Linked DNA regions of Danio rerio. The protein of the gene in region 3 interacts with the protein of the main gene of each other region in a pairwise test. Links are inferred from orthologs where the notes say so. Each region holds a gene or a part of one and is shown on either strand. Other genes may lie near its edges.

Evidence for each region.
Region 1: the proteins of ccndbp1 (region 3) and imp3 interact in binary tests that used the Homo sapiens proteins (3 or more experiments, as listed by UniProt). The two-hybrid records come from large-scale screens. The link is inferred for Danio rerio from reciprocal best matches to the Homo sapiens genes CCNDBP1 and IMP3.
Region 2: the proteins of ccndbp1 (region 3) and pias2 interact in binary tests that used the Homo sapiens proteins (3 or more experiments, as listed by UniProt). The two-hybrid records come from large-scale screens. The link is inferred for Danio rerio from reciprocal best matches to the Homo sapiens genes CCNDBP1 and PIAS2.
Region 4: the proteins of ccndbp1 (region 3) and ilf2 interact in a two-hybrid assay, tested with the Homo sapiens proteins (2 studies listed by BioGRID and IntAct). The two-hybrid records come from large-scale screens. The link is inferred for Danio rerio from reciprocal best matches to the Homo sapiens genes CCNDBP1 and ILF2.

Annotation. Positions count from the first base shown.
Region 1 is NC_133177.1:10,337,393-10,341,963, forward strand, and holds the start of imp3 (U3 small nucleolar ribonucleoprotein protein IMP3), read right to left. Parts: upstream 2,914-4,571; 5' UTR 2,817-2,913; coding exon 2,680-2,816; intron 2,565-2,679; coding exon 2,457-2,564; intron 1,863-2,456; coding exon 1,788-1,862; intron 1,121-1,787; coding exon 1,041-1,120; intron 1-1,040. UniProt on the Homo sapiens protein: Component of the 60-80S U3 small nucleolar ribonucleoprotein (U3 snoRNP). Required for the early cleavages during pre-18S ribosomal RNA processing. Part of the small subunit (SSU) processome, first precursor of the small eukaryotic ribosomal subunit.
Region 2 is NC_133180.1:42,368,016-42,372,700, forward strand, and holds the start of pias2 (E3 SUMO-protein ligase PIAS2), read left to right. Parts: upstream 1-1,761; 5' UTR 1,762-1,796; coding exon 1,797-1,820; exon of another isoform or gene 1,821-2,151; intron 2,152-2,817; exon of another isoform or gene 2,818-2,902; intron 2,903-3,245; coding exon 3,246-3,714; intron 3,715-4,685. UniProt on the Homo sapiens protein: Functions as an E3-type small ubiquitin-like modifier (SUMO) ligase, stabilizing the interaction between UBE2I and the substrate, and as a SUMO-tethering factor.
Region 3 is NC_133181.1:63,059,307-63,063,350, reverse strand, and holds part of ccndbp1 (cyclin-D1-binding protein 1 homolog), read right to left. Parts: intron 3,418-4,044; exon of another isoform or gene 3,352-3,417; coding exon of another isoform or gene 3,264-3,351; intron 2,512-3,263; coding exon 2,452-2,511; intron 2,369-2,451; coding exon 2,289-2,368; intron 2,197-2,288; coding exon 2,115-2,196; intron 1,165-2,114; coding exon 1,068-1,164; intron 677-1,067; coding exon 603-676; intron 64-602; coding exon 1-63. UniProt on the Homo sapiens protein: May negatively regulate cell cycle progression. May act at least in part via inhibition of the cyclin-D1/CDK4 complex, thereby preventing phosphorylation of RB1 and blocking E2F-dependent transcription.
Region 4 is NC_133194.1:40,099,792-40,104,389, forward strand, and holds the start of ilf2 (interleukin enhancer-binding factor 2 homolog), read right to left. Parts: upstream 2,874-4,598; 5' UTR 2,784-2,873; coding exon 2,779-2,783; intron 2,313-2,778; coding exon 2,253-2,312; intron 2,162-2,252; coding exon 2,119-2,161; intron 2,032-2,118; coding exon 1,927-2,031; intron 738-1,926; coding exon 660-737; intron 550-659; coding exon 447-549; intron 358-446; coding exon 292-357; intron 191-291; coding exon 74-190; intron 1-73. UniProt on the Homo sapiens protein: Chromatin-interacting protein that forms a stable heterodimer with interleukin enhancer-binding factor 3/ILF3 and plays a role in several biological processes including transcription, innate immunity or cell growth.

The DNA.
Region 1 (4,571 bases), on a different chromosome or scaffold from region 3:
AAATACAAACTACAACATCAACTCCATTTTTTTAATGTTTATGTTGATTTTTGTCCTGTTAATTAAAATTTTACTTGATATTTTCTCTCAACATATTAATTATGTGTACAAATTTTTGAACTGTGATCTTTAGTTTATTTGTTGTTAGATTTATTCCAAATTTTGCTTTGGTACTGAATAATTTAATGTATATGCAAAAACATAAAGCATTTTGTAGATATATTAATTCAAAATATTGATCTGTGAGGGGTGTACTTTGCTATATTTATGTAGCATATGAATTACATAATTAAATAAAAAATATATTAAGAAAGCACTGACTGATATAAAGAAGTAGGCTACATTTCTTAAAGAATGACTTTAAAGCTGCAAACCGGTTGATGAATCCGGGCAAGAAAGGTAATTTAAGTGATTTGAACGTGGTATTGTTGTTGGTACCAGACAGGCTGGTCTGAGTATTTCAGAAACTGCTGAGCTATAGGGATTTTTACACACAACTATCTCTAGGATGCATCTATGCTCAACCTTCAGGGTTTCGCGACAGTAATGTGCACGAACAGCTATCTACATTATTTACACTGAACTCAGATTAGTTAGATCAAATGATCTTCAACTTTCTGATATGGAACCAATTTAAGCGTGGATGTTTAGTTCGGCTCATTGAAGTCAGGTTTTTGACTTTAATCCCCTCTTTTCTAAACCAATTTTAGGAAATTCATTTAGACACGTTTTGTCTGGAAACCACCATAGGAAATGGTCTAAGCAAATCTGATTTATATCAGTCTCAAATGCGTTTTAAGGGCCATTTAGCTATCCGATCACAGAAAAAATGCATGTAGTGACCAGGTGTAAACAAGAGCAGTTTAGAGGCATTTAGCAGGTGAATCAACTTTTCCAGAAACTTCAATTTGCCTAGCCATTTTAAACTCCAAACTAATTTCCTTTTGGCCTGATTTTGATCAAAACGACATCATCCACCCATTTAAATATAAGAATATGAACATATGCAGAGATCAGCAAGACTTGTGATTGAAGGATACGGCCCTGCTCAATGAAGGTGATGGCGTTCCTTAGGTTCTGAGCCATGCGCAGTTTCAGCATGATTGTGGGAAGCCGCCTCCTGTAGAAAAGACAACATTGAACAACATTCAAAAATTGTCTGCATCTCCTGCACTGCATAAAAACACTCACATATTAGTTGTCAGTGTGCAGGACTTGTGTAAATTATTTTATTATTCAAATCAAAAAATATATTGAAATTTGAATGTTTGAATTGAAAGTTTATGGTGTCATTTCAACAAATGTACGGTGCTGCTTTCAAAAACTCAACAACAACAAAAAAAGAATTTTTTTATTTAAAAACCTTACATTTAAATCTAGTACAAGAACTATGAAAAATAATGCACAACAATATTTCAGAAACCGCTTTTGAAGATTACCAGAATTGAATTCATCAAATTGTTTTAAAGTTCTTTGAACATGACTGTTTAAAACAGAGTAGCACATTCAAAACATCATCATTACTCTAAAGTACATGAAGGGCTTTATTTCATGGCACTATATATGTGTTTGTATGCATGTATGTATGTATGTATGTATGTATGTATGTATGTATGCTGGAGGTGCAAATTTTAAAGGTGCTTAATTTAAAATGATTAGTGATTTAATAAGTCTTTGAATCTGGTGTCCACGAAAGCATGGGGACCCTAAACATTAATAATTAATGTTTCTTGATTATCAAATCAACATATTGGAATAATTAAATAAAGCACAGTAACTTTACTCACCTGCAGAATGCAGATGCTGACACTTCATTTGCGAGAGAGAGGTTCTGTTTGGTGGGAATCAAACCGACACTGTATCTGCAAAACAGAAATCTTACAAATGTAGAAACTACTAAAACTTTAGTAAACTCCTTACAGAATGAGGTGTACACAAAAAACCAAGGTCAACAAGCTTTTAAAAATCGGAATAATATACAGATTCACATTTTATTTACTGTACAATTTTTATTCTGAACAAAAAATATAAGACATCTATTTTATCTATCATAAATTTTACCATGACTTACAGATAGCGCTAATAAACATGTATTACAATAGTTTGTATAGAAATAAAATCTTGTTTCGAGTATAGTTAGATTTAGAATTATTAAATAACATTAATAGACTTAAGATTTAATACAAATTAAATTTCGTCAAACAAACAAATAACTTTAAATATAATAAAGTTCATAAGATTCCTTTTAAACCTGTTTTTAATCATTTTTATTCTTTGCTGTTTTTCTTTTCTTCTTTCTTTTATTCATGTTTATGTAAAGTATTTAGATTACCTTTGTGTATGGAATCTGCTATATAAATAAACTTGTCTATTATCGCTTATGCTTTTATATATTCTAAACTAAAACAATTTCTGTATATTCATGACAATAAAATGTGACAGGTTCCCAAACTTACAGTTTTTCCAAGAAAAGGGCTGTACTCTGAGATCTGAATCCATCTTTTGCGTCCAAGTCCCGTATTTTCTGCGCCAATTCTCTGATATTTCGACTAAGTTTGTTGTATCTAAAGAGAAATCACGAATGCATTAATTGATAAGCCGCGTTTTATTCACAGTGATGTATTAGACCCATAACTTCAGAGAAACACAGTCATTGATAGAAGCATTTTCTTTACTCACTTGGTATAATCTTCCCTCTTCTCAATATGGTATTTTCTCAACACTTTAACCTCGTGTATATTGTTGTCAACCTCCCAGTTAATAAAATCAACTTTCTTCAAGAGTTTCTGCTCGTGAAATTTTAATTTACGTACCATTTTGCTAAAAAACACGGGCTATATTTATGGCTAAACGTGTTAATAACTTGCTCACTTCAGCTTACGCACGCGTGCTTTTTATTCACTGTGGTTTTCTGTAAAAACGTAGCTGTTAAGCTCGATATCGCCGCACAGTGTTCAGGAGGGAAACACTATAATTTTTAAATAAACAAATAAATAAACAAATAAATAAATAAATACATTTATCAATTAATCTATTTATTAATTTATTAATTAATTAACGCTTTTATCCAGAGCGACTTTAACAGATAAAGAATCCAACTGATCAAACAACACAGCCTGTCAAATAACACATTTTACTTAAAATTATAACTTTATAATAATAATATTAATAATAAAAAATCACAAAACAAATAAAATGGCCAAATAAACAGTAAAACAATAAATTAAGTAGCAAAATATACTATACATTTTCATTTCAAAACTTTGGCTACTCGCAGCTTTGCAGTATGTAAACTGATCAAATTAGACAGATTTTGCGCTGACGTAAACGTATTATAATTGATCTAAGTCATCAGGAGATGTCACTGGGGGAAAAAATGTATTTTCACATGACAGGAAAACCGACACGACATAAATCACTATCAAACCTTAGTTTCATCTTTGCAGAAAGTGAGGTAAAGGAAGTGAATGTTTATAAGAAATGGCGATCATATCCATCCATTGGACGGCGTGTGTGAGCCTCGAACAGGTAGGGTACAGTACAAATTAAAGCTCTTTACAGACATTACGAACATTATAATAGCCTGTGCTACTTGGAAATTCAATCATGACAGCGATTTTCATTTAAATGTAAGGACGTTCATGTAGCCTACTTTATGCGCGGAAAGCTGACAGAAAGTTTGATTTTGGAATTTAGAACCAGAAACCTATAAACTACGAACAAACGTTTTAGCTTTGCGAGTGTGTTGAAATAAAGAGAGAAAGAAATTTGATATCTTGATGGTGATAGTGAGAATGTGCTCTGGGGAATTTCTTTCATATATTTTTTTAAGTGTTGGAACTTGAACTATATGTAATATCATTAATACAGACTGTATGCAACAGAGTCTTTATTTGACAAAAAAATAAATTTCAATAAATTTAATTTTCTTTTTAATAATATTATTAATCATTTTGCACGTGTCCTTGAAATTGCTGTCCACCCCATCATGTGGTAAATGCCCCTTTAAGAAACCCTCTGATGTACTCATTGGCATCCCCATTTTGCCTTCTCTTCAGAGTCTCAGTCTAGTATATCCTTTAAAAGTCCATATAATAGAGCTCATTGACTGTTTGAAATAAAAACACAGCCCTAAGTATTTCTACATTTATGTGAACATCTGTATAATTAAATAATGTAAATAACATGTGTATCTAATTATTTACCTTATTCTGAAAAAAAAAATCTGTATCATTAAGGTGTTCAACTTGAGTTGCTTCCTACACTCCATTCACTCCTCCAATACAATGTACAATGTAAAGATTTACATTCAATATGCAAATATAATTTAAAGCACAATAATTGTTTATTTTCTCATTAATTTCCATATCAATAAAACCTAATTGATAACAGCAGAGGCGGTGTGGTGGCTCAGTGGTTTGCAGTAGTTAGTGAAAACAGAAGCTGAATTCTTGAAAACTTTTACAGCCCTTTTATATTAATGTTTCTTGTTGTACCAGTTGTTTTTCAAATGTTCCTCATATTTAGTTCACTGATTAAAGCCCTTGTCCACCCGGTCATGCCAGTGTTCA
Region 2 (4,685 bases), on a different chromosome or scaffold from region 3:
AGATGTCATTTTTAATTGACATTTTGTAACGTGTGTTAATTATTAGCCTGTCAAATTTTAATTATTTAAAAAATATTTCCCATGTGTTGTTTAACAGGGAGAGATTTTATTCATTTATGTATTTATTTTTTATTTCAGTAGTAATAAGGGCATATTAATAACTGTTCTAATTTGTAAATGAGAATATGAAATGTAAGCATTGGGTTAAACAGAGGTCTGATCAGGAACGAAAACCCTCAGTCAATAATCTGGTGATGGTAGATTAGCTCTGAGCTCCATCTGCTGGACAACAGACTGTAACTGTCATCCTGAAAAGCTAAATTGGTATGTTCACACTATAAAAACACTTAATCGTGAGACAAAATTCATTACAGTTCCTTAATGGTTCTCAAAGTTTTGGCTCCAAGACTTCATTTACAACATTTGGATGACTTTCAGTTGTTTAACATGTTAATCAGTTAAATGGGGCTTGGTATAGTTATGTATATAGTGTATACAACTATACACTACTATAATCATAAGCTGTATACTAAAACATAATATATATATTTTAGATATTTTTAATGATTTCCAACATCTACAAAGACAACATAAACAGTTGTTAATGTGTGGATTATAAAAAAGTTTTTATTTAACCATTTTAAATTCTCAAGGCTCCCTTAGAGTGACACGGTGGCTCAGTGGTTAGCACTGTCTCCTCACAGCAAGAATGTCGCTGGTTCGAGCCTCAGCTGGGTCAGATGGCAATTCTGTGTGGAGTTTGCATGTTCTCCCCATGTTCGTGTGGTTTTACACTGGGTGCTCTCCTTTCCCCCACTGTCCAAAGACATGCTATAGGTGTATTGAATGAACTAAATTGGCCATAGTGTTTGTGTGGGTGGGAATGTCAGTGTGTATGGGTGTTTCCGCTGTGTAAAACATATGCTGGATAATTTGGCGGTTTATTCCACTGTGGTGACCCTTGATTAATAAAGGGACTAAAAGCCAAGAAGAAAATGAATGAATGAATGAATGAATGAGGCCCCCTTAGAATTTTGCTGCCCCCTGGTGGAACACCACTAGCATAAACTAAATGGTCTCAAACTTAATTCCTGGAGAGCCACAGCTCTGCATAGTTTAGTTTCAACCACCTCCAACTCACACCTCTCTAGTAGTCTTGAATACCTTAATTAGTTGAATAAGCCATGTTTGATTATGGTTGGAGCAAAACTGTGCAGAGCTGCAGGCGACCCTCCAAGAACTGAGTTTGAGACCCATCTATGCTGTACAGCTTTTTTACTTCATCTTATTTGCCTTGGTGCTAAAAGGTTTGTTGGAATCACATTAGAGCTTACATGAGGACATACTCTCAGAAAAACAGTTTCAAAACACATTTCTAGTGGCGAAAGAGAGTACAGGAATCACACAATGCAAGTAAAAACGCTTCCAATATATCTGCGATATTTAGGATTAGATTATTGCAGATAACATTGCCACCCAAAAAGACTAATTAACAAACATAACATTGAACTAAAATGTTTATAAACAATTTGAACTGATTAACAGGATTTTACTTTTCGATGGCTAAATGATCTCCTCCTTGTGGAAAAATAATTATAATTTCGTTCACAGCGAAGGATTCTGTGGTTGATTACTGAATAACGGAAACTATTCCCAAAATATGGGTAAGGGGAAAAGCAAATCAGGGAACCTCAGAAGAAAATAAAAATGCACAAATGAACGACGTGACCCCTTTAACCAGCCTGTGTCACGTGACTCGACATCTCCGGACTAGCCAGGATGAGCGCAGCCAGAAAATGGCGGATATTGAGGAGTTACGGGTAGGCGAAAGTGCAATGATAGCTGGCTACTTCTTTGCGTCTTTCACATGCTGAAGGCATTTTGCAGTTGACGTTATGTTATGCTATTATGCCCGTCCGTTGGCCTTTGATGCGTTAGTTTCTTCATAGTTAAAAGAGAAACGCGACATCCCTCCGTTATTCGGGTTATGGTTAGCCTGTTAGCCACCAACCCGCTACTCGTTTAGCTCTCGAGATGCTACACAAACGTTGAAGATCAGCCTCAAAATGCCACTGCTTTTATTGCCACCATTGACTGCATGAAAACGCTTTATTATAATGCCTAACTGAACTTGACGACTGTTCGCTTCAGGTAAAAAGTTTTTACGTTCTTCACTGCTCGACTTGTTTTGGCTGGTCTTTTGTTAGCTAACGTTAGCGTCCGGCAGCTATTGACATTGTTTACATGTAACTTACACACAGGTGATGCTTGATTTATTAGAAGTGTTTGCAAGGGAGACATATGTTTAATCCAGCGTGTCCAGAGTCTCTTTGTGCGTGTAAATGAAAGTGAACGTGCGTTTTATATCATAATTGCTAAGTTAAACAATGGAAAATATACACACTGAGAATGTTGTTTACAAGCTCTAACTGTAAATAGTTTGCGGCAAACAAAACAAACTTGACTTCTGTTTCATATTTTCCTCAACATAAGCACTTTAGTAGTGTGATGCATACATCACTTTTCTGAAATTGAACGTATTCAGCTCCAACAAACGTTAACCATGCCATAAGAAAGGTATACTGTGTGTACTGGATACGTTAATGTTAGACACTTGCTGTTATATCTGTCATTACATAACTGACTGATTCATGCTGTCCTGTAAAGTGTTCAGAATTGTCCAGATTTGCTGTAAACCAAGTTTCCCGCCAGCAGTTCTGTTGATTTCTCTTGAGATCAACGTGAACATCTGTTTTGTTCTTTGTCATGTTCTCGATGTTCATCTAATGGGTCTTGGAATTATTCTCAACATTTTAGATGCATTTCGGTCATTTGTTAAGGATTATTAAAGAAAAAAGGATTAACACGTAAGAACAATCAAGCATGGACCGTGTAATGAAGGGTCAGTTGAGATTTTCTTATTTCTTTGGGGTTTCTTGAAAGGGTGTTTTTTGGGTGGGCTGTCACCTCACTTCACACATAATTCTTTGTTAATTAATCTGGTTACTAATTAAATGACACTTTTTGGTTTAAAAAAAACTGTCATAACCATTTTCCACAAGCTTATGCCATGTTGATTTTGATGCAAAGGTTTATGTCTTGCTAAAATCTTAAAACAAAAGTTGTAAAAGTACACAAAATGGCATAGAGGGTGGTTATATTTACTAACCTGTGGCAAATGTATTCTTACTAATGTGTGGTGTTTCTTTTTTTTTTTTGTTGCCTTGTCTGGATTTATTTTTCAGAATATGGTATCAAGTTTCCGTGTCTCAGAGCTCCAAGTACTGTTAGGTTTTGCTGGAAGGAATAAGAGCGGTCGCAAGCATGAACTTTTGCTGAGGGCTCTGCATCTACTGAGGAGTGGTTGTAGTTCTGCAGTGCAGATCAAAATCAAAGAACTGTATCGGCGGAGATATCCAAGGACATTTGAAGGTCTTCAAGATTTGGCGGCACTAAAGTCAAGCATTAAATCCTTCATTCATCTGGACAGCGGTGCCACGGCTGTAAGCTCAGATCTTACTCTGCCAACCGACCATTCAGACGTCCTGCAGCAGCGCCGGGAGAGCTGTGATTCACCTGTGTTTCATGAGTCAAAGCCCATGATGAACATGCAGCAGCCCACGACACTAATGGCCCCCGTCCATCCGGATGTGCAGATGAAGTCCTTACCGTTTTACGATGTTTTAGATGTCTTGATCAAACCATCAAGTCTAGGTAATTGTCACATGCTTGGTGAAATAAACAACAACACAGCAAAAAAATAAATAAAAAAAATCAATGCATTCACATTATAACTTTAAAGTTTAGCAACTGACTTTAGTTTTGGTGGTTTTGCAATTATTAAAAAGTTTTGGGTCAATGAGTTTTTTTTTATTTTTATAGATCAAAAGCGATTGTAATGACAATTTCAATTAAATGAAAAATTCACATTTTAAGCTGCTGTTCTTTTGAACATCTTTTGAAAAAAAAAAACATTCCACAAATATTAGCACAAGCTGGTTTCAACATTGATGGTAGTATATAATATATAAAAATAAATTGATGTTTTTTTTTTGTTGCATCAAATCTGCTTATTTTTCTTATAAGACTGAAGTCTGCAGTAATGATGCTGAAAATTTAGGCCATGTCCACACTAATGCGTTTCATTTGAAAACGCATATTTTTGTCTCCGTTTTGCCCTTCCATCCACACTGAGACGTGTTTTTAGGAAACAAAAACGTATCTTTTTGAAAACGCTCTCCAAAGTGGATAAATTTGAAAAAGACTTTTTCGTGTCGTAGTGTAGACTGTGAAAACGGAGTCTTTCGAAAACGATGACGCGTTTTTTGTCATGTGACACTCAGTCATGTTACTAATTCGTTTACTTTATTTTCGTTGTGATTATGATTTTAGTGATGTCGTCCTTACTGTGAGGGTAAGCAGCGTCATCAGCAGGATACTGTTCTTTAAAGCGGTCCAGTATATCGGCGTATTTGTTTTGGCACGTCTCCCAGTCTACATTTCCACTCTCTTTTGCAACTTTGTATTCATGTGTTACTCGAAGCAGCAACTCTACTTCATTGTCAGTCCATTTAAAAAACTATGTGCTTTTCCTTGACATTTTGCAGCAACGTTTCAAAGAGCCGGAAAGAAAATAAACGTCAGCCGGAAATGACGCTTGACGAAGCGTCTTACGTTTCACGCAT
Region 3 (4,044 bases):
CCAGAGCGTCCTTCACCAAACCCACACACGAGCTCAAGACGGCCAGAACAGCACTGCGGTTATCTGACAGAAACACAATATACATACACACACACATCTTATTATTCACATTATGTAAGGTGTGTTTAAGTAGTGCACATTTGTTAACTACATATTAATTTAGACACATCTCTGTATAATGTCTGCAGTGTTTAAAGCTCAATGTGTGCACATCACCTGCAGAGATGAGCTAATTATTTTACAAAAATGATCGTTTGGCAGAACTGACTGCATTCCCACAGCTCAGCAGTTCCAGCATTCCTCTGGCATCAAACCCAAGACTGCTGTTGCAGGAGCTTTATTACAAAACAACACTGATGTCTCAATGAGCCACACAGAGACTGCTTTACATGCACTAAAACACCCCTCATTTGAATGTGGATGCACAACCTTACAGATTTAGAAGCAGCTTTAATTTACTAGCAACACTAGTCATCTCTGCCGGACAATCTGAAATATTGTATGCATTTTTATTCTCTAGTCTTCATCTGCACTGTAAGAAGCGCTATAGAAATAATGATGGACGGAACTGAAGGACTCCAGCACAAGTTGTTTCTAGATACCTTTGGGTATCTGGTCAAAATGGTCACATGCGGCCCAAACACTCCCGGTGGAGGTGAGCTGCTCCTGCGAGACACTGGGGGAACACAGGAGAATGTAAACACAGTAAATGAACACAGACAGATTATAAACACACACAGGTTGTTTAAACAGTATATAAACACAGACTGATCATCATATCATCACTATATCCCATCATCATCTGATCATCCTGATACAGCACTGAAGAGCAGACACTGATGAAGCGCTGGCGCACATGCACACTCACTACAGCTGATCACAGCACAGCTTATCTGCAGTTTCTCTCACTGGACACAAGGTTTACCCTACTCACTTTATGCACATTTTCAAAATGTATGCACATCTTGGATTTCCATTAAGTGTTTTTTTCTGAAATAATCCAAAATGTGCATAAAAACAGGTGGATGGAAACACAGCTAGCGAGGGCCTCAGAGGACGAGTTCTACCTTTGTCCAGGTGAGGACAGAATGACATCCAGCAGCTGAACCAGACCCTCCAGAACCTCAGCGGTGGCGTCCCTGACAGACCTCCTCAGTGTGACTCCTGGACACACGTGCGCGCAAACACACACACGAAAACATATATACACACACACACACACACACACAATCATGTACAGACACGTGCATACACAAATATCCACAAACATACACACACACACAATCATAAACAGAAGCACGCACACACAAAGAAACATTTACAAACATGCACCAAAAAAAACACACAAACACACATAAACAAATACACACACATGCAAAATGGCACAGATACACACGGAAATACACACAACCAAACAAACACAAAAACGTGTATATATACACACACACATGCACAAACACAAAAACACAAACATGCATGCACAAACACACAATCATGTACAGACACGTGTATACACAAATATGCACAAAAACACACATACATCATGTACAGGCACGCATACACAGAAACATGCACAAATATGCAGAAAAAAAGACACAAACATACATTACACACATGCAAAAAGACACACACACACACAAACACAGAAAACACAAACAAAAAAACACACACATTTGCACAAAATCACACGTCAGACACACAGAAACAGAAACACACATGCACACGCACACACACACAAACACGCACACACACAGACACACACACACACACACATACACAGTCTAATGAGTTTCTCAATAATCAGGTCAGAGGTCATGAGACGGTTTGTGTAATCCACAAATGAGCAAATGCAGCTGAGCAGCTCCAGAAGAGCTTCATACTGAACACAGACACCACAGAACACTGCACTGCTTTTGATTTTGGACTTCAGTATCCTTGTAAAATTATGATTACGCTCAGTTTTCTTTTACGTTTTTAGAATTACTTAATTACGCACTAAATATTTACGATAGTGTTTTTATTTCATACATTTTTACAGCTTGAGCATGTGTGTGTGTGTGTGTGTGTGTGTGTGTGTGTGTGTGTGTGTGTGTGTGTATGTGTATATCTGTTACCTTGACTCTTTGGCAGCCAGAAGTAAACGGTGCACAAGGTCAACACACTCTTCTGCACACAATCCCCCATTTTTGCACAATCCTAAAGCGAAGAAACACAACAGCAGCAGCAGCATTACTGATGGACAAATGACAGGATAGTTATAGTGATGTTCAGAAGGGGGTTAATCACACCTCGTCTGACGGCAGTGGCGGCTTGGAGAACATCAGGCTGAGTTTAGTCGCTTCTTGAGACACTGCTTTTACAGCTTCATCTGCGGAAAGAGAAGAGCTGGAGTGAGTCATTCAGCGATTCAGAAGAACATGATTCAGATTCAGAATCAAACACTGAACGAACTCAGAATCTCCCAGAAGTTGGCCAAGCTGAAGGTGCCGCTGCTGTCGTTGGACTCTCCATCTGCAAACACAATCAGAAACACTGTGGGCTTCAGCACATCACTGACAACATCTCATTCAAATTACTATTAACTATATCTGTTAAACTAGAGTAAACATCATGACTAGCACTCTGACCAGCTAACTATATCTGTTAAACTAGAGTAAACACCATGACTAACACTCTGACCAGCTAACTATATCTGTTAAACTAGAGTAAACACCATGACTAGTGTTCTCACCAGCTAACTATATCTGTTAAACTAAAGTTAACATCATGACTAGCGCTCTGAGCAGCTAACTATATCTGTTAAACTAGAGTAACACTCTGACCAGCTAACTATATCTGTTAAACTAGAGTAAACACCATGACTAACACTCTGACCAGCTAACTATATCTGTTAAACTAGCGTAACACTCTGACCAGCTAACTATATCTGTTAAACTAGAGTAAACATCATGACTAGCACTCTGACCAGCTAACTATATCTGTTAAACTAGCGTAACACTCTGACCAGCTAACTATATCTGTTCAACTAGAGTAAACATCATGACTAGCACTCTGACCAGCTAACTATATCTGTTAAACTAGCGTAACACTCTGACCAGCTAACTATATCTGTTCAACTAGAGTAAACATCATGACTAGCGCTCTGAGCAGCTAACTATCACCGGTTAAAGTGTTTTCGTGAGTGTTTTGGAAGTTTAGCCGTTAGCATTCCCACAAACACTGCTCAAATACACAATGAAACACGGAATACAGGACCACCATACCTCTCACTCGATCCCTGCTGCACTTCACCGAGTTCCAGAGGTTTCTCAGCGGAAGCAGCGCTTCTGAACGCGAGTTTTCGCCGCTCATGACGCGCTTTGCTTCAGTTTCGTGGAGCCGCGGAACGAAAGTCAAGCGGAACTAATATTGTCTGAGTGTGACCGGAATGAATCCGTCGCTGCACAGTCAGCTTGGTTGATACTTTTTGAATGTTTGTTTGTAATTATATACATTTTGAAGTGTTAAACCAATATAATTGTTTACTTCTGTATTACTGGTGTAGTTTGGTCAATTGGTGAAGTTTGTTCCTCCGCTGTCGCCACTGGCTTGTCTGGTTCGGGACCTGTGGAGCTGTGGATGGATTTGCTCTTCAGTGTTTGTTTGGACTCTCAGCAGTGTAGATTTAACCACACTGAACTGAACTAAGCAGAACTTCAACTCTGAACACTGGACTGAAACAGCTTTAATCTACTAGAACTTCTGTGTTCAGCTGCTGCGACTCAACACTAAAGCTTAAGTTACACACATTTTAGGGCATCGAGCTGCCTCCACACGGTGTTTGTGGAGTTTTTGTGTCTTAATATATCCTAATGTATGGGTTTAATCATAAAAATACTTATAAATAAAAGATGATTAAATAAATAAACTGAATCTAGTCTTCTCTGTGTGGATGATTTTGGGCGGCAGGTGGCGCTCGACACCAGAGAACGAGTTTAGTGGCCTGTTGACTATACATATTTACATATATCATGTTGACTATATATTTATTATAGTAACGTTACA
Region 4 (4,598 bases), on a different chromosome or scaffold from region 3:
CATCTCCAAGAAAAGTTATCATTTTTTAACGCAAGTCACAAACAAGATCAATGTTTAAAAGAGTGTGACATACAATGAAGCTCTGGGTCCAGTTTGCGCAGATTGGGTGGGACAGTGGTGATGAGGATTTTTACTGTGGCATCGGCAGAGCTGATCTCAAATCCAGTCTCGTTTGTCAGCATGGACAACACTGGGGAGAAGAGGAAAATGCATCAGTGAGAATGGCAAGCAAGTCGGATTTTTTTTCCCTCCCTGAAACTACAGGTCTGCCAGATTAAAGCCTATACTCACCCTCAGAAGGGTCCTGGGTTCGCAGGGTCTCAACAACTTTGTTTCCCAAGGCGGCAACAGCTTCCACTGAACAAGAACACGTAAACATTACTGATAAACCAAGTACACTTGGGCTAGGAGCAACATGTTGGCCTCATAGAAATCTCAAGACTTACAGGTGGGCAGAATCTTCAGGATAACCACAAGGTCAGCAACATTGTGTCCTGCAGTCATGGTGCCCTTTTTATAGGAGCCCACTTGTCTTACTTCCTCAATTTGCTGAAAAAGGGATTATCAAACTTTCATTAAATAAGTCTAAAAACATATACATAAAATATTTTGAAAGGCATTAATAATAATAATAATAATGTTTTACTGAAATATCTTACCACTTCAAAGTTTCCAGGTGCCACAATTAGGTTATCAATGACGTTGTTAATTTTGGTGACCAAGGACAAAATGGAAGCCTGTGACAAAAATGAAGAAAAAATTTGCTGTAATTTGTTAATAATGCAATCAAAAATTGGTTTGCTTTTGCACTCCTAATACAATATCACATTTTATGCATCTATTCTAGGTCAAAACCAAATGTGTAACAGCTCACAATCTTTAAAAATTAATAGAGGATGTTGAGACCTTATCGGATATATATAATATATATATATATATATATATATATATATATATATATATATATATATATATATATATATATATATATATATATATAGGGCTGATTCCAGCGTTATGGATGTGACATTTGCAGTAAAAATTCAAAACATAAATTTGCAGAGAAAGTATATTTTAACATTATATTGAATCATCCGTTTATATTTTCCAAAACAACTAACCACAGAGTTCTGGGATCAAAAAAATTCAATCTGTGAACATTTTTATACTTTAAATGAGGAAAATAAACAAGTGTTATGGATGTGACAAAAAAAGTCTGCGAGTTTACAGTATACAACTTATTTCGTTAAAAAAAATCTGTGAATTAAACTGCACAACCTAAAATAAATAATTCTCAACAAAAGGATAAGAGTTGGCTCTTTATAGAACAAAACTGATTTATTTTATTTTATTTTGACATTTTTGCATTTTTGAGGGAAAATCTTTGCTATGGATGTGACACTTTTTCGTTATGGATGTGACGGATGTGAAATTGCCATTTGTTTGACTTTGGTAAATCAAATAAATTAGTTTGAAAACATTGACAGAGACATTTTTAAGTATTTTTAAAGTACTGTAAAACACTTGCCTGCGCAAAAAATGTAGGAACGGTTTCGCTATTTTGGTGAAAAACATTTTTCTTTTCATGGCAAGGTTGACATTTTCATGGAATTGCTCATATATATATATATATATATATATATATATATATATATATATATATTACAATTCCATAATTTACTCCCACTCAAGGGGTACTAAACGTTAACGAATTTCTTCTGTTAAACACAAAACAAGATATTCTTAAGAATATGGGAAACCAGCATTTTTTGGTGTGTTCAACCAAATTAAGAAATTCAAACAGGCTTGGAACAAGTTGAACGAGTGTAAATGTCAACGACATTCATTTTTGGGTGAACTATCCCTTTAGCATGAAAGGGCAGAAGTCATGGAGTGTGCAGTTTTCATAATAGTTTATGACCATACCTGTTCAGAGGGGGTTGGACTGAGGTCTTGGTTCCTCTTCAACAGACATTCACTGAAAGCAGTCTCATCAGAGGCCGGCTTCACTCGAGGAAAGGCCATCTCACACTGTACAAAAGCAAGTTGTCATGAGCTCTGGGCTTAAAAAGGCTGTTTTTCCTCCCCACAAATCAGAAAAGCAATAAATGTACTTACAACATAGAAGTCAAATGGTATGTGAGGGACAAAGGGCCGATACCTGAGACAAGAGAAGTCACAGGTTACAAAATTATTACAATATAACCAAATTTAAGTAAGGGGGTCAAAACAATATGGTCATGAAATCTTACCCTTGGACCAAACCTCCGCGGGAGCCGAACCGGCCACCTCGGCCCCTGCCACGATCTCCTCTGAGAAATAAAAACGTAATTTCAGCAAGTGCAATACAAATAAATAAATAATGATGTCCAGCGATAACCCAAAATTGGATTTTTTAAAGTTTAATTTAAAACCCAAATAAAAAAATAAATATCACAAATTAGATAGCAGTATTGTTCGAATAAAAGCACGGCGTTCATTCATTCATAAACGCTCTCGGTTTTTTTTTCAGGAACACATCGTTTTGCAAATAACACAATATGTATAGAAAATCCAGAATTATGACTATAACCGGAAAAACTTTACTAATAAAAGTGTTTATTTAGTTACTGTATTGATTAAAAACCGACAAAGGGGCTAGCAGAACATGCTAACATGTTAGCTTAGCATCTTTGAAAAAAATGTATAAAATATCACAACATACAGTATTTTGCTATAATTCGGTTTATAACCTAATCAAAAAGATTGTTTAACTATAAATGATAAATCAGTTCGTACCTCATTGCGTAAGACGTTTTGTCAGTTTAACAGGACACACGCTGGTGAGAAGAGCTCTGCCTCCGCCTGCAGATAGCCGCCGAGTAGCTAGCTTCAGAAAACGGAAGTAACTTCATAAATCCAGCATAACCACCTAGAATAAAAGCCCGAAATAGCAGCCCACACAATAGTAAAAGTCTCAGTTGAATTAAGGTTTTTCGAGTTTATTTAGGGAGGAAATAACAGTAGCAGAAAGAGAAACTATCTAACATTCAGCTTTATTGTCTTTAAGTCAACTATGAAATTATTTAAAATACTATTTTTATGCATTACAATGTATGGATGACAACTACTCGCTTTTAAAACATTCTATTGTTTGGATAAGCTCAAACAAGTAGCATATAGCATACATAAAATTTTGTAAGGATTAAATCACAACATTCTAGATAGATTACCATAGTTTACTATGTTACTTTGAATGTTCGATCTGAATTAGCATGCAAGCATGACTTCTAAACAACATTATTAGTATCTAATTCACTGTGAACCATGTTGTACTTTGATAGTCATTTGCTGCTAATATGATTTCCCTATTTGGAATTTGCAAAGAATACTTTCTGAAATTATATTATTAATGAGAATATCTGAATTTCCGTATATAAAACCAACTTAACCTCTATCTAGACTGCTGCTGTCACATGGTTATACTTTGCTGAAGATAGCTATAGTTTTGTAAAGATTAGAAATATACAAACACAGATAATTTACTTCATTTGAAATAAATAATACACAAACAAACAAGCACATCACTAACAGGTCCACATTGTTCGACCCTAGCTATGGAACCCTATTAGAAATTTAAATAAACAAGAGAAGACAGTTTGGTCTGTATTATTTCACCCTTTTATGTCTTATATATTTAAAACCTTTAGGGATTAAAACAACAACAACAAATATTATTTCCATAAATAATCACTTCAAATGCATCTTGCAGGGGAGACTTGACATGTCAGGGGTGGACCTGTACAGTCCTCACACTGCCTTTATCAGAGAACACCAGACAGAAGTTGTGTTACATTCCACAGCCAATCAAACGCAGGAAATCCAAAGCTGTGCAGTTTTGCGCAAATTACGTAGATGTAATGCATGTGCTGAAGTAAGATAAGGGTTGTTTTTTAAATGTTCAGTCACCTCCACTGTTATTACAGCAATATGCCTCCATCATCACAACACATCCATCTACAGAACTAAATGCAGTGATAAGACAGAAGGTAAGAATATTTGTAATAATCTAATATGAATATTATCAGTTTCTTGTGAAATGTCTTAGGTAGGTGTCCAGGCAGGTTTTTGGATTATATGTATATATTTTATTTGTAATTCAGTTTAAGAGAAAAATCTGAAAAGAAAGAAAGAAAAAAGTCTATAACAAATACAGTAATACAATAATTAGGCTCTTTAATTTTTGCACATAAATACAATACTTTAAAAGTGTTTTATATATATTTTATAATTATTAGCCCCCTGTTTATTTCCCCCAATTTCTGTTTAACGCAGAGACGTTTTTTTCCAGCACATTTCTAAATATAATAGTTTTAATAACTCATTTCTAATAACTAATTTCTTTTAGTTTTGCCATGATGACGGTAAATAATATTTGACTAAATATTTTTCAAGACACTTCTATACAGCTTAAAGTGACATTTAAAGGATTAACTAGGTTAATTAGGCAATTAGGCAAATCATTGTATAATGATGGTTTGTTCTGAAGACAATCGGAAAAAAATGCTTAATGGGGCTAATAATAGGGGAGAGCAGGGCACAAAGTAACACCTTTTGAT